Linked DNA regions of Kluyveromyces lactis. The protein of the gene in region 1 interacts with the protein of each later gene in a pairwise test. Links are inferred from orthologs where the notes say so. Each region holds a gene or a part of one and is shown in the gene's direction. Other genes may lie near its edges.

Region 1 (3,303 bases):
CTATATGTGCTTTCTTATTTATTTCTAGGAGCATATCGTTTACCTCCGTGAGGTGCCGCTATGAGATTCAAATACATCTCTTTTATCATTTTAATTTCGTTCTCATTATTAGTGTGGTTTTCTCATTTATCCAATTTTACGTGTACCTCATCAGCAAATCTTCCAATATGCATGCCTCAATATGTGTTCCATTTCAAAGACGACACTCCAACCTCTAAGGTGCTATTCAGCACCGTAAAGGAGTTTTTTTCTCTATTATCGTTTTTTACATTGGATTTCAACTGGGGAATAGATTTGAGTGAGTTGCAAGATAGATATAATCAATCAAATTTGATAAACATATTTCATCCATCAAATACGTATTATGTGAATGCCTTCGGTTATTGTAAACATCAGGCCCAAGATGAGAAGCTAAACCATTACTGTATAGATAACACAAACGGGCTAAATATAATATCCGTTCTAATTCGTGATTTGGGCTTTCAATTCGGGGTTTTATCGGAGACTAATGTAAAGATAACTGGTGATTCGTTCTGGATCATATACCAGACGTTAATCAATTCCTTCAATAAATTTTTAGAGGATGATAAAAGAGGAAACACTTTATTGAAAATGATCACCCCAAATGATCCGAACGAAATGGAACAATGGAAAACAAGACTATGGTTGATAAACATTTATGATGCTGTCAATGTTGTGTTGAAATGGACAGTAGTAGCTAACTGCATCTTAGCATCTCTATGTTTGATGCTTCTTCTTTTCTGGATGTGGATGCAAATCGAACACAAAAAGACACAAAGTCCAATCAAGCAATTGAATTGGAATATCAATTCAATCTGCTCAATAACTCGGTGTCTGAGTATTTGCAATGCAACAATTACTTTCATCTATATTCTTCACATATTGCTGCTTACCTTCATGATTAATTGTTTCCGTTACAAAAGACTACAAATTATCCACGCGTCTCTCGGAACGGGTGCATGGTTCCACATCGCGAGGTTCTTTGTGGAGCTAATATTTGCGGTGCTATGTTTCAAATGGATGACACCACACTCAGCCATGTCTGCATCAGTAATGAGCGAAACACAATCAACAGCCGTAGAAGATGAAGAAGAAAAAGATACTGAGGATAATTACAGCGCGCTAAATCCTGCTAGTGGGACTACTGCAGTCGATGGATTCCTGCTCACTGTGTAGATATGAACACTAAATATAGTCTTTTATAAACCGTCCATATATCAAGAGCTTTTCATAGGCCTTAGCGCCTACAAATCTACCGCCCTCATAGCTTCCTACTTAATCCCAAAACGATCGGCGTGTTCTCAGTATCGGAAAGTTTCCACTTCACTATCCAATATGAAATTTCGAAATTTCATGGTGAAATCTAATAGTGGAACATTTAAGTTAAGTAACTGAATTGAATGTTAAAGATGCATAAAAAACATTCAGTGTCTGTACCAGCTAACGGGCAACGGTCAAAAATTATTCTCAGCAATGGCAGGTCTTAGGACATTTGATGCGTTCCGTAAGTTCTTTTTTCTCCTATTTATAGAGGCCCCATGTTTGAAATAAAAAGGGCCTTCTCAAATTATATGAGTATACTAACATGCATACCAAACCTATGCGTTGCATTTCTTTATCACCAGCTAAAACCGATGAACAGCATGTGAAGACTTCATCCAAGGGTGGCCTTAGCTCCATTTTGACATATTTGTTTCTCTTATTCATCGCATGGTCCGAATTTGGTAGCTTTTTTGGAGGTTACATTGATCAGCAATATGTCGTGGACGACCAAATCAAGGAAACCGTTACTATTAACTTGGATCTCTACGTGAATATGGCATGTAAAAACATTAGAATTAATGCTAGAGATATTACTGGCGACCGTGGACTCATATCAGAGAACATTCAAATGGAAGGAATGCCATTTTACATCCCTGTGGGCACAAGAGTAAATGAGATGAACAATATTGTTTCACCGGACCTCGACGAAATACTTGGCGAAGCGATCCCAGCCCAGTTCAGGGAGGCTATTGATACGTCTGAGTTAACTGGAAGAGATGATTTTAATGGGTGTCACATATTTGGTTCAGTTCCTGTCAATAAAGTGAAAGGTGAATTACATATCACCGCTCACGGTTGGGGTTACCGGTCTGCCTCTGCCATTCCAAAGGACCAAATAAATTTCAATCATGTAATAAACGAACTTTCCTTCGGTGACTTTTATCCTTACATTGACAATCCTTTAGATAACACCGCCAAATTTTCGGATGAGAAGATCAAAGCATATTACTACTTTACCTCGATAGTACCAACACTTTACAAAAAAATGGGTGCCGAAGTAGATACCAATCAATATGCTTTGAGTGAAACAGAGTACGGAGAATCTAGTAAAGCTACCGGGGTTCCTGGTATCTTCATTAGGTATCAATTCGAACCCATGAAGATAATCATCAGTGATATGCGTATTGGATTCTTCCAGTTTATTATCAGACTCGTTGCAATCCTGTCATTCATCGTTTACACGGCATCTTGGATTTTCAGACTTGTAGACAAGTCACTAGTCCTAGCTCTTGGTCCTAAGTGGTCTCTTCACTATTCAAAAGATCAAAGTCCATCTCATGGGCTTTTAGATGAATAATTTATCTAAAAAGACTGATTACCAAAGAACTTTCAACTGTTATAAACCAGTTGGATAACGTAGCATAAATAGATGGTATGAAGGCATATTAAAGTGGTTCATTTTCAATTGGTTCAAATCTCTCTTTGGTTATAATTACGTACCTGTCGATAAATGCAAAATAGAAAAACAGTAACTTTTAATTATGTGCTTCACTCATGTGACTTCGACTTGATTTCATAAAACAACGATTATCAAGAGACCAATGCCTAACAACTTATCATCCCTTTCAGACACTGCTAACTATATCGACAAAGCTTCAAATGTTGATCCAAAAACAGCATCCCCTTGTTCCACGAATGCTCTCCCTTTAGACCTTCACAAATTAGCCGCCGAATGGCAGAGTGATAAGAAGAAAGAGGAGGTTCAAAGGCAAGTGTTGCAGAATGAATTCTTGAAAAGTGTTAAGGAAATCAGTAAGAGTCTGGTGAAGAATCAAAATGATAAGAGTCCTATATCACAATTAAATTGGGATCAGATGTACGACGTTTCTGCAGAATTAATGGATCAATACAGTAAGGAGATGGAACAGATCTTAGCTGAACTTGATGAGGTATATAAGAAGCATTTCATGTGGCAAGAGGCGGCATTTACTATTGATTCACATAGAGGTGCCACGAGAA
Region 2 (4,144 bases), on another chromosome or scaffold:
GAGTAGTTAACGAAGAAAAACCAAACTTTTATTTCAATGACAGCACGAGTGAAGATGATAATTCTTACATGAATACAGATACCAATTCCATAACCGCATCGCTGGCAAGACGCAGTTCTTTATCTTCATCTAAAAAAGGTGCAGCATCTTCGTTATTAAGTAATACTGAATCTCGTCAATCTTCAGCACTGGAAGCAAAGTCCATTGATAACGACACCATCAACACGACTCCGTCATCAGAATTCAAGAAAAGTTTGACCAAGGGATCGATTCCAGATAAAAATGTTCGACTCATCTCAAGCTACATAGAAGAGCTACGGCTCTTGTACTTCCCCACGTCAAATTCCTTACAGTTGCCTCCAGATCTACCTTATGCTTTGAAGAACAAGAATACTCTTGAACAACCACAAAATATCAAAGTTACAATACGAACAAGTACTAGACAAGTCGGTATAAAGCACGGCAAGGCCAAACAGAAGCTATTATCACTTGAAACTACAAAAGAAGAGGAAGAAGAAGAGGAAAATAACAGTACTACAGGCCTCAAATTCAATACCGAGTCCACAAAAGTTGATCATACTAAGGAATTTCATACTTTGTTCAACAAGGATGAAAAAATTTCCGAGGCAGACCAAGATATTCTTGATGATATTCCTGGTGATGAGGCATACGATAGCGATGATTTAATGGCACCGTTGCGTGAGAACCCAAAACAAAGAATTCATGACGAAGTTTCCCAAACGCGCTTGAAAAGATCAGATACTGTATCCAGCTATTTCACGAGAAATGCTGGTAGAATGAGAAGCGGTACTCTAGACGTAACGTACAGTCCACAGCTACCACTAGATCTACGGAAATATAACCTGATTGAAGAATCTCAAAAGCCATGTACTCCTGCAGTACATGAAAAAGGTGACACTAATCCCAAATCTCATAAATCTAGCATTTCGAATGCTGACGATGATTACGAGCTTGACGTAGCAGATTTCGGTTACTACCGCGGTACCGCTGGAACAGGATTGCATATAACCAACCCAGATTCAGAATAAACTATCATTCAAACAATATTACTGCTGCATCTATATCTTGATCTATACGTATCTTGTACCAATGTATATATTAACGTTTCTAATACCCGGTCAAATTCATTGTTACCCGTACTTTGTTTTATGTTGATTTTCAGGACGAAAATGAGATTCTGAAATAAAGAACATGCTGTTTTGGAACAGTTCTGTTATGAAATAACATATGCGAGAACCAGGAAGTTAAAAGAAGCTACACAAGACACACAGGTCAATTGAGGTATGACAGTCGGCGTCGAACAACCTGCGTATACGTTAGTGTACGACCCCAATCCAAATGGGGTCACATATACCGTATCAGACTTCCAAAAGGCATTGGAAAAGGGGTCTGATACTGAAAAGATCGCGACCATGAAGAGGATCTTGGTGACCATGTTAGATGGTAATCCATTACCAGATTTGTTGATGCACATCATCAGATTTGTGATGCCTTCAAAGAACAAGCAATTGAAGAAGCTTTTATACTTTTACTGGGAAATTGTTCCAAAATTAGATCGTGAAGGTAAATTGAAGCAAGAAATGATTCTTGTCTGCAACGCTATCCAACATGATTTGCAACATCCAAACGAATACATCAGGGGCAATACCTTAAGATTCTTGACGAAATTGAAAGAAGCAGAACTTTTAGAGCAAATGGTTCCTTCTGTCCGTGCTTGTTTGGAATACAGACACGCATACGTTCGTAAGTATGCAATCTTAGCAGTTCTTTCCATTTACAAAGTCAGCGACCATTTGATTCCTGATGCTTGTGAAGTGATTGATTCCTTTTTGGTTGCAGAAACTGATCCAATTTGTAAGAGAAATGCTTTCCTAGGTCTTGCAGAATTGGACCGTGAAGCTGCGTTGAACTACCTACAGGACAACCTAACTTCGATTGAAAATTTGGATGCTTTGCTACAAAACGCCTTCATTAGTTTCATTAGAAAGGATGCTATCAAAACTCCAGGATTGGTCTCTCAGTATGTTGAATTGTTGCAAGATCTTTTAGTTTCTACTCGTTCTACGGATGTCATGTACGAAGCTGCCATTACTTTAACTGTTCTAACCAATAAAGAAGCTATTTTATTGACCGTAGCTAACAAGCTAATTGATTTGGCCACAAAAGAATCTGATAACAACATCAAGTTGGTTGTTTTAGAAAAAATCAACGAAATAAACGAGAAGAATCCAGGCTCTTTAGAGGATCTAACATTGGATATTCTACGTGTTTTGAACGCACAAGATTTGGATGTCCGTGCTAAGGCTTTGGATATCTCCTTAGAATTGATTACGTCCAGAAACGTAGACAGTGTAGTTAAGTTATTGAGGAAAGAATTACAATCTACTGCTGATAGCAGTAACGATAAAACTCTGGAGTACAGGCAATTATTGATCAAATCCATTAACAAAGTGGCAATAAGATTTATTGAAGTCTCCTCCAATGTTGTCTCATTGCTTCTAGATTTTATCGGTAACTTGTCGTCTGAAAGTGCCAATGATGTCATTTCCTTTACAAAACAGGTCATTGAAAGGTATCCTGAGTTAAGATCTGAGATTTTAACTACTTTGATTGAGACATTGCATGAAGTAAAGTCAGCAAAGGCTTACCGTGGTGCTCTTTGGGTACTAGGTGAGCATGCCCAATCCGAAGCAGAAATCCAGAATACCTGGAAGCACATCCGTTCAAGTATAGGTGAAGTTCCAATTGTTCAATCTGAACTGAGAAGAGTTCAAAATGATGACGAAGACGATACTGAAAAGGCCCCAATAGTATCCACAGGGCCGGTAGTTTTGCCAGATGGTACTTATGCAACCGAATCTGCTCTATCTGTCTCAGAAAAGGTCAAATCCACCTCAAACGAGGAAAAAGAAGCAAGACCTCCTTTACGTCGTTTCGTCCTAAATGGAGATTTCTTTACTGCCTCTGTGTTGGCTAACTCTATCGTTAAATTGGTGTTGAAATTCGAAAAGATTTCCAAGAACACTTCTGTAACTAACGCCCTAAAGGCCGAAGGGTTGTTGATTTTGGTTAGTATCATCAGATTAGGTCAAAGTAACTTAGTAGAAAAGAAGATTGACGAGGACTCTGCTGAAAGACTAATGACGGCAATTTCGGTATTGATGGACGAGATTTCTACCGAAGAAAGTCAAGCAGAGAAAGAACTTTTGAGTTTGGCATTCTTGGAAGCTACCAACGAATCATACAAATCAAGAGTCAATGTTACTTTGAAGAAGAATGCTGCCAAGAGATCAAACTACCTAGCCAAGCACGCCGAGGCCATCGATAAATCCATCGTTTTCAGACAATTTAAGAATGCAGGCTTGCACAATACCCCCGTCGATTCAATCGAAGAAGATATAAAATTGGCTACCACCGGTACTGTATCATATTCCAAACTACAAGCTAATTCTATCACTTCAAAATTGAAGAAGATCGTCCCATTGACTGGTTTCAGCGATCCTGTTTATGCCGAGTGTTATATCACTAATCACCAATTCGATGTTGTGTTAGATGTTCTATTAGTGAACCAAACCAAGGATACTTTGAAAAACCTACATGTTCAATTCGCTACTCTTGGTGACTTAAAAATTATTGACCACCCACCTAGCACCAACGTTATTCCACATGGGTTCCACAAAATTACGATAACAGCAAAGGTGTCCTCAGCAGATACTGGTGTTATTTTCGGTAACATTATATATGATGGTGGTCACGGTCAAGATTCTCGTTATGTCATCTTGAATGACGTTCATATCGACACAATGGATTATGTGAAACCAGCAATCTGCGATGATAACAGTTTCCGTAAGATGTGGAATGCGTTTGAATGGGAAAATAAACTTCGTATCAAATCCAAATTACCATCTTTACGCGGTTATTTAGAGAAGTTGGTGGAAGTTACACATATGAAGGTTCTAACCCCTGAAGAGGCACTCGGCGACAATGATTCCAGATTCCTAAGTTGTAACTTATATTCTAGATCTACATTTGGCGAGGACGCTTTGGCTAACCTGTGCATAGAGAAGGATCCAATCACACAAGAAATTGTTGGTGAAATCCGTATTCGTTCAAAGACCCAAGG
Region 3 (2,787 bases), on another chromosome or scaffold:
CTCGTTTCTCCAAGAAGAAGGATGTACCAACTTTGGGTGATATGAACACTTCCAAGGAAGACGTTGAAAAGTTCTACTCTTTCTGGCACAGATTCGACTCTTGGAGAACATTCGAGTTCTTGGATGAAGAAGTTCCTGATGATTCTTCCAACAGAGATCACAAGCGTTACATCGAAAGAAAGAACAAGGCGGCCAGAGATAAGAAGAAGACTGCTGACAACGCTCGTTTGGTGAAATTAGTCGAAAGAGCCATGAACGAAGATCCACGTATCAAGCAATTCAAGGAAGAAGAAAAGAAGGAAAAGGAAAGAAAGAAATGGGAAAGGGAAGCCGGTGCTAGAGCCGAAGCTGAAGCCAAGGCCAAGGCTGAAGCTGAAGCTAAGGCTAAGGCTGAAGCGGACGCTGCTCAAGCCGCATCTGCCAAGGTTGACAAAAAGAAGGCCAAGGAAGCTGCTAAGGCTGCTAAGAAGAAGAATAAGAGAAGTATCCGTAACGCTCCAAAGGATGCTGATTACTTTGGTGATGCCGACAAATCCACTACCATCGAGGAACAAACTGGTTTGATTGTCGACTCTTTGGACGACGAACAATTGGTTGACGTTGCTGAAAAGATCAAGAGTGATACTGCTGCTGCTAAAAACATATTGTCTGATGCAGCAAAGGCTTTGACTGACGCTGGGAAATTACCGGCTGCTATTGTCTCTTACTACTTATAAATTTAAAGATGAGATCAGTTCAAAACCAGCCCAGAGGAAATATATAGCATATAACATAGTCTACTGACATTGGCTCTGCTATTTAACCCTTCGATTTATATATATATACCAGTAAAATCTGACAGCTACCTATTACTTCGGTTTCCAGGAAAGTCAGATAGTGGTATCGCTTATATAAATACCGACTTTAAGATGGTATAAAAGTAAAATCCGAATTGCAAGCAGAAATGAACAAATACTTCAAGCGCTTACTGGTTTATCGTAGCATCGGGCTTCATACATGGACTGATGTGGTAAACCTCAAATAGTATGAAAATTTTAGGTTATACTATATATATACGGTAGTTCAACGTCCAGTATTGATCAGTACTGAAAAATCAAAAACAATAACAGTGTGGGAGAAAAAAGGACCCAACCTAAAAGACAGATCAGTTTTTTTTTGCAGAGTACTGGAACCAAACGAGAACAGGTGTGAAAACATAGTGAAAGTTCAGTGGTAGTGGATATCTAAGGAATTGGAACCTATTTTGCGAGCTGCCATTACTTGTGTCGTTTTGGAAGTATAGCTCACCGTAATACCTGTGCATAGTATTTTCTGTTTGAGCGCAAAATTCTAATTGGTAATACTGAAGCGGAATACCATTGAACGAGCCATGTCTTTTAGAGGTAACAATTTGGATACGTTTCCAACAGCAAAGCCTGGGTTCCAAGGTGCATCGTATGGCCAAGCGTCACAATCTCACAATGTTTCAGCTAAGGACAAGTACAGGCGATTATTTGAACAATTCGCTAAAAGGGTTGAAGACTTAACGGAACATCCATTGGTCTTGAAAATTAGGCCTTACACCCCAATCATTGCTAGATTCTTTATTGTTGCCACATTTTATGAGGATTCGTTGAGAATCATTGCTCAATGGTCAGATCAAGTGTTTTATTTATGGAACTACAGACATTTTCCTTACTACTTTGTCGTTTTCTTCTTATTTTGCGTTGTGATCTCTATGTTTACAGGCGCCACGCTATTAATCTTGAGGAAACAAACCGTGTATGCCACCAGTGCATTGATTTGTACCGTCATTTTACAAGGTTTGGTTTACGGTCTGTTCACCGGATCATCTTTTGTCTTGAGAAACATTAGTGTCATTGGGGGTTTATTGATAGCATTTGGTGACAGTATTGTTACCAACAGGATGACCTTTGGTATGCTACCTGAATTAGACAGTAAGGATGGTAAATTCAAAAATTACTTGTTATTGGCTGGAAGAATTCTAATGGTTTTGCTCTTTATTACCTTTACTTTTACTAAGAGTTGGTTGACAGTTTTGTTGACGATTGCAGGTACTGTTTGTATCGCAATTGGTTACAAGACAAAGTTCGCATCTATAAGTTTAGGTTTGATTCTAGCGTTCTATAACATTACCGTCAACAACTATTGGTTCTATGGGTCTAGCAAAAGAGATTTCTTGAAATACGAATTCTATCAAAACTTAAGTATCATTGGAGGTTTATTGTTGATTGGCAACACTGGTGCTGGTCAATTGTCAATTGACGAGAAGAAAAAGATCTACTGATGTTAACATGCTTTTATTTCTTCAAAGCAAACTAAAATCCCAAAGAGTTCTTTTGCCCTCATCAAACTCCCATTTAGAATATGTGAACTTCAGTTCATTTTGTCCAGCCCTGAACGGTTGCATGATCATTTAAAAATAGAATATGTGTAATTACATACTTGTATTGGCTGGCGTCTATAAAAGCGGTATTCATTTCTCAGTTCATTTGATTATGCTGCAATTATGGAACAGGTTCTTCGTAGTGTTACTTTTATATATATTGAAAATTATACTTTGAGTTTCCAATATTAAAAATTGCCGGACGCCTTTTAATGATCAATTCCCCATATTAAATAATAACATTTTATTCGCCTGTACTGTATTGTCACGAGCTCATAAGATAAAAGATAATCAAATACTATATAGTTATTCTTTAGTACACATGCATGTACAAATTGACCCCGAAAAGACCACCACCTAGTGATAATATTAGTTTTATTCTGCTATAGCTTTAACTAACA

The links.
Region 2: the proteins of ERV41 (region 1) and SEC26 interact in binary tests that used the Saccharomyces cerevisiae proteins (3 or more experiments, as listed by UniProt). The link is inferred for Kluyveromyces lactis from reciprocal best matches to the Saccharomyces cerevisiae genes ERV41 and SEC26.
Region 3: the proteins of ERV41 (region 1) and ERV29 interact in binary tests that used the Saccharomyces cerevisiae proteins (3 or more experiments, as listed by UniProt). The link is inferred for Kluyveromyces lactis from reciprocal best matches to the Saccharomyces cerevisiae genes ERV41 and ERV29.

What each region holds. Positions count from the first base shown.
Region 1 is NC_006038.1:449,589-452,891, reverse strand, and holds ERV41 (Erv41p), read left to right. Parts: upstream 1-1,494; coding exon 1,495-1,525; intron 1,526-1,646; coding exon 1,647-2,641; downstream 2,642-3,303. Other genes in the region: SMA2 (Sma2p), read left to right, coding at 61-1,197; GMC2 (Gmc2p), read left to right, coding at 2,886-3,303. UniProt on the Saccharomyces cerevisiae protein: Constituent of COPII-coated endoplasmic reticulum-derived transport vesicles. Required for efficient transport of a subset of secretory proteins to the Golgi. The C-terminal Ile-Leu motif is required for exit from the endoplasmic reticulum.
Region 2 is NC_006039.1:1,329,088-1,333,231, reverse strand, and holds the start of SEC26 (coatomer subunit beta), read left to right. Parts: upstream 1-1,304; coding exon 1,305-4,144. Other genes in the region: KLLA0_C15301g (uncharacterized protein), read left to right, coding at 1-1,049. UniProt on the Saccharomyces cerevisiae protein: The coatomer is a cytosolic protein complex that binds to dilysine motifs and reversibly associates with Golgi non-clathrin-coated vesicles, which further mediate biosynthetic protein transport from the ER, via the Golgi up to the trans Golgi network.
Region 3 is NC_006042.1:287,443-290,229, reverse strand, and holds ERV29 (protein ERV29), read left to right. Parts: upstream 1-1,369; coding exon 1,370-2,287; downstream 2,288-2,787. Other genes in the region: ZUO1 (zuotin), read left to right, coding at 1-716. UniProt on the Saccharomyces cerevisiae protein: Constituent of COPII-coated endoplasmic reticulum-derived transport vesicles. Required for efficient transport of a subset of secretory proteins to the Golgi. The C-terminal di-lysine motif is required for exit from the endoplasmic reticulum.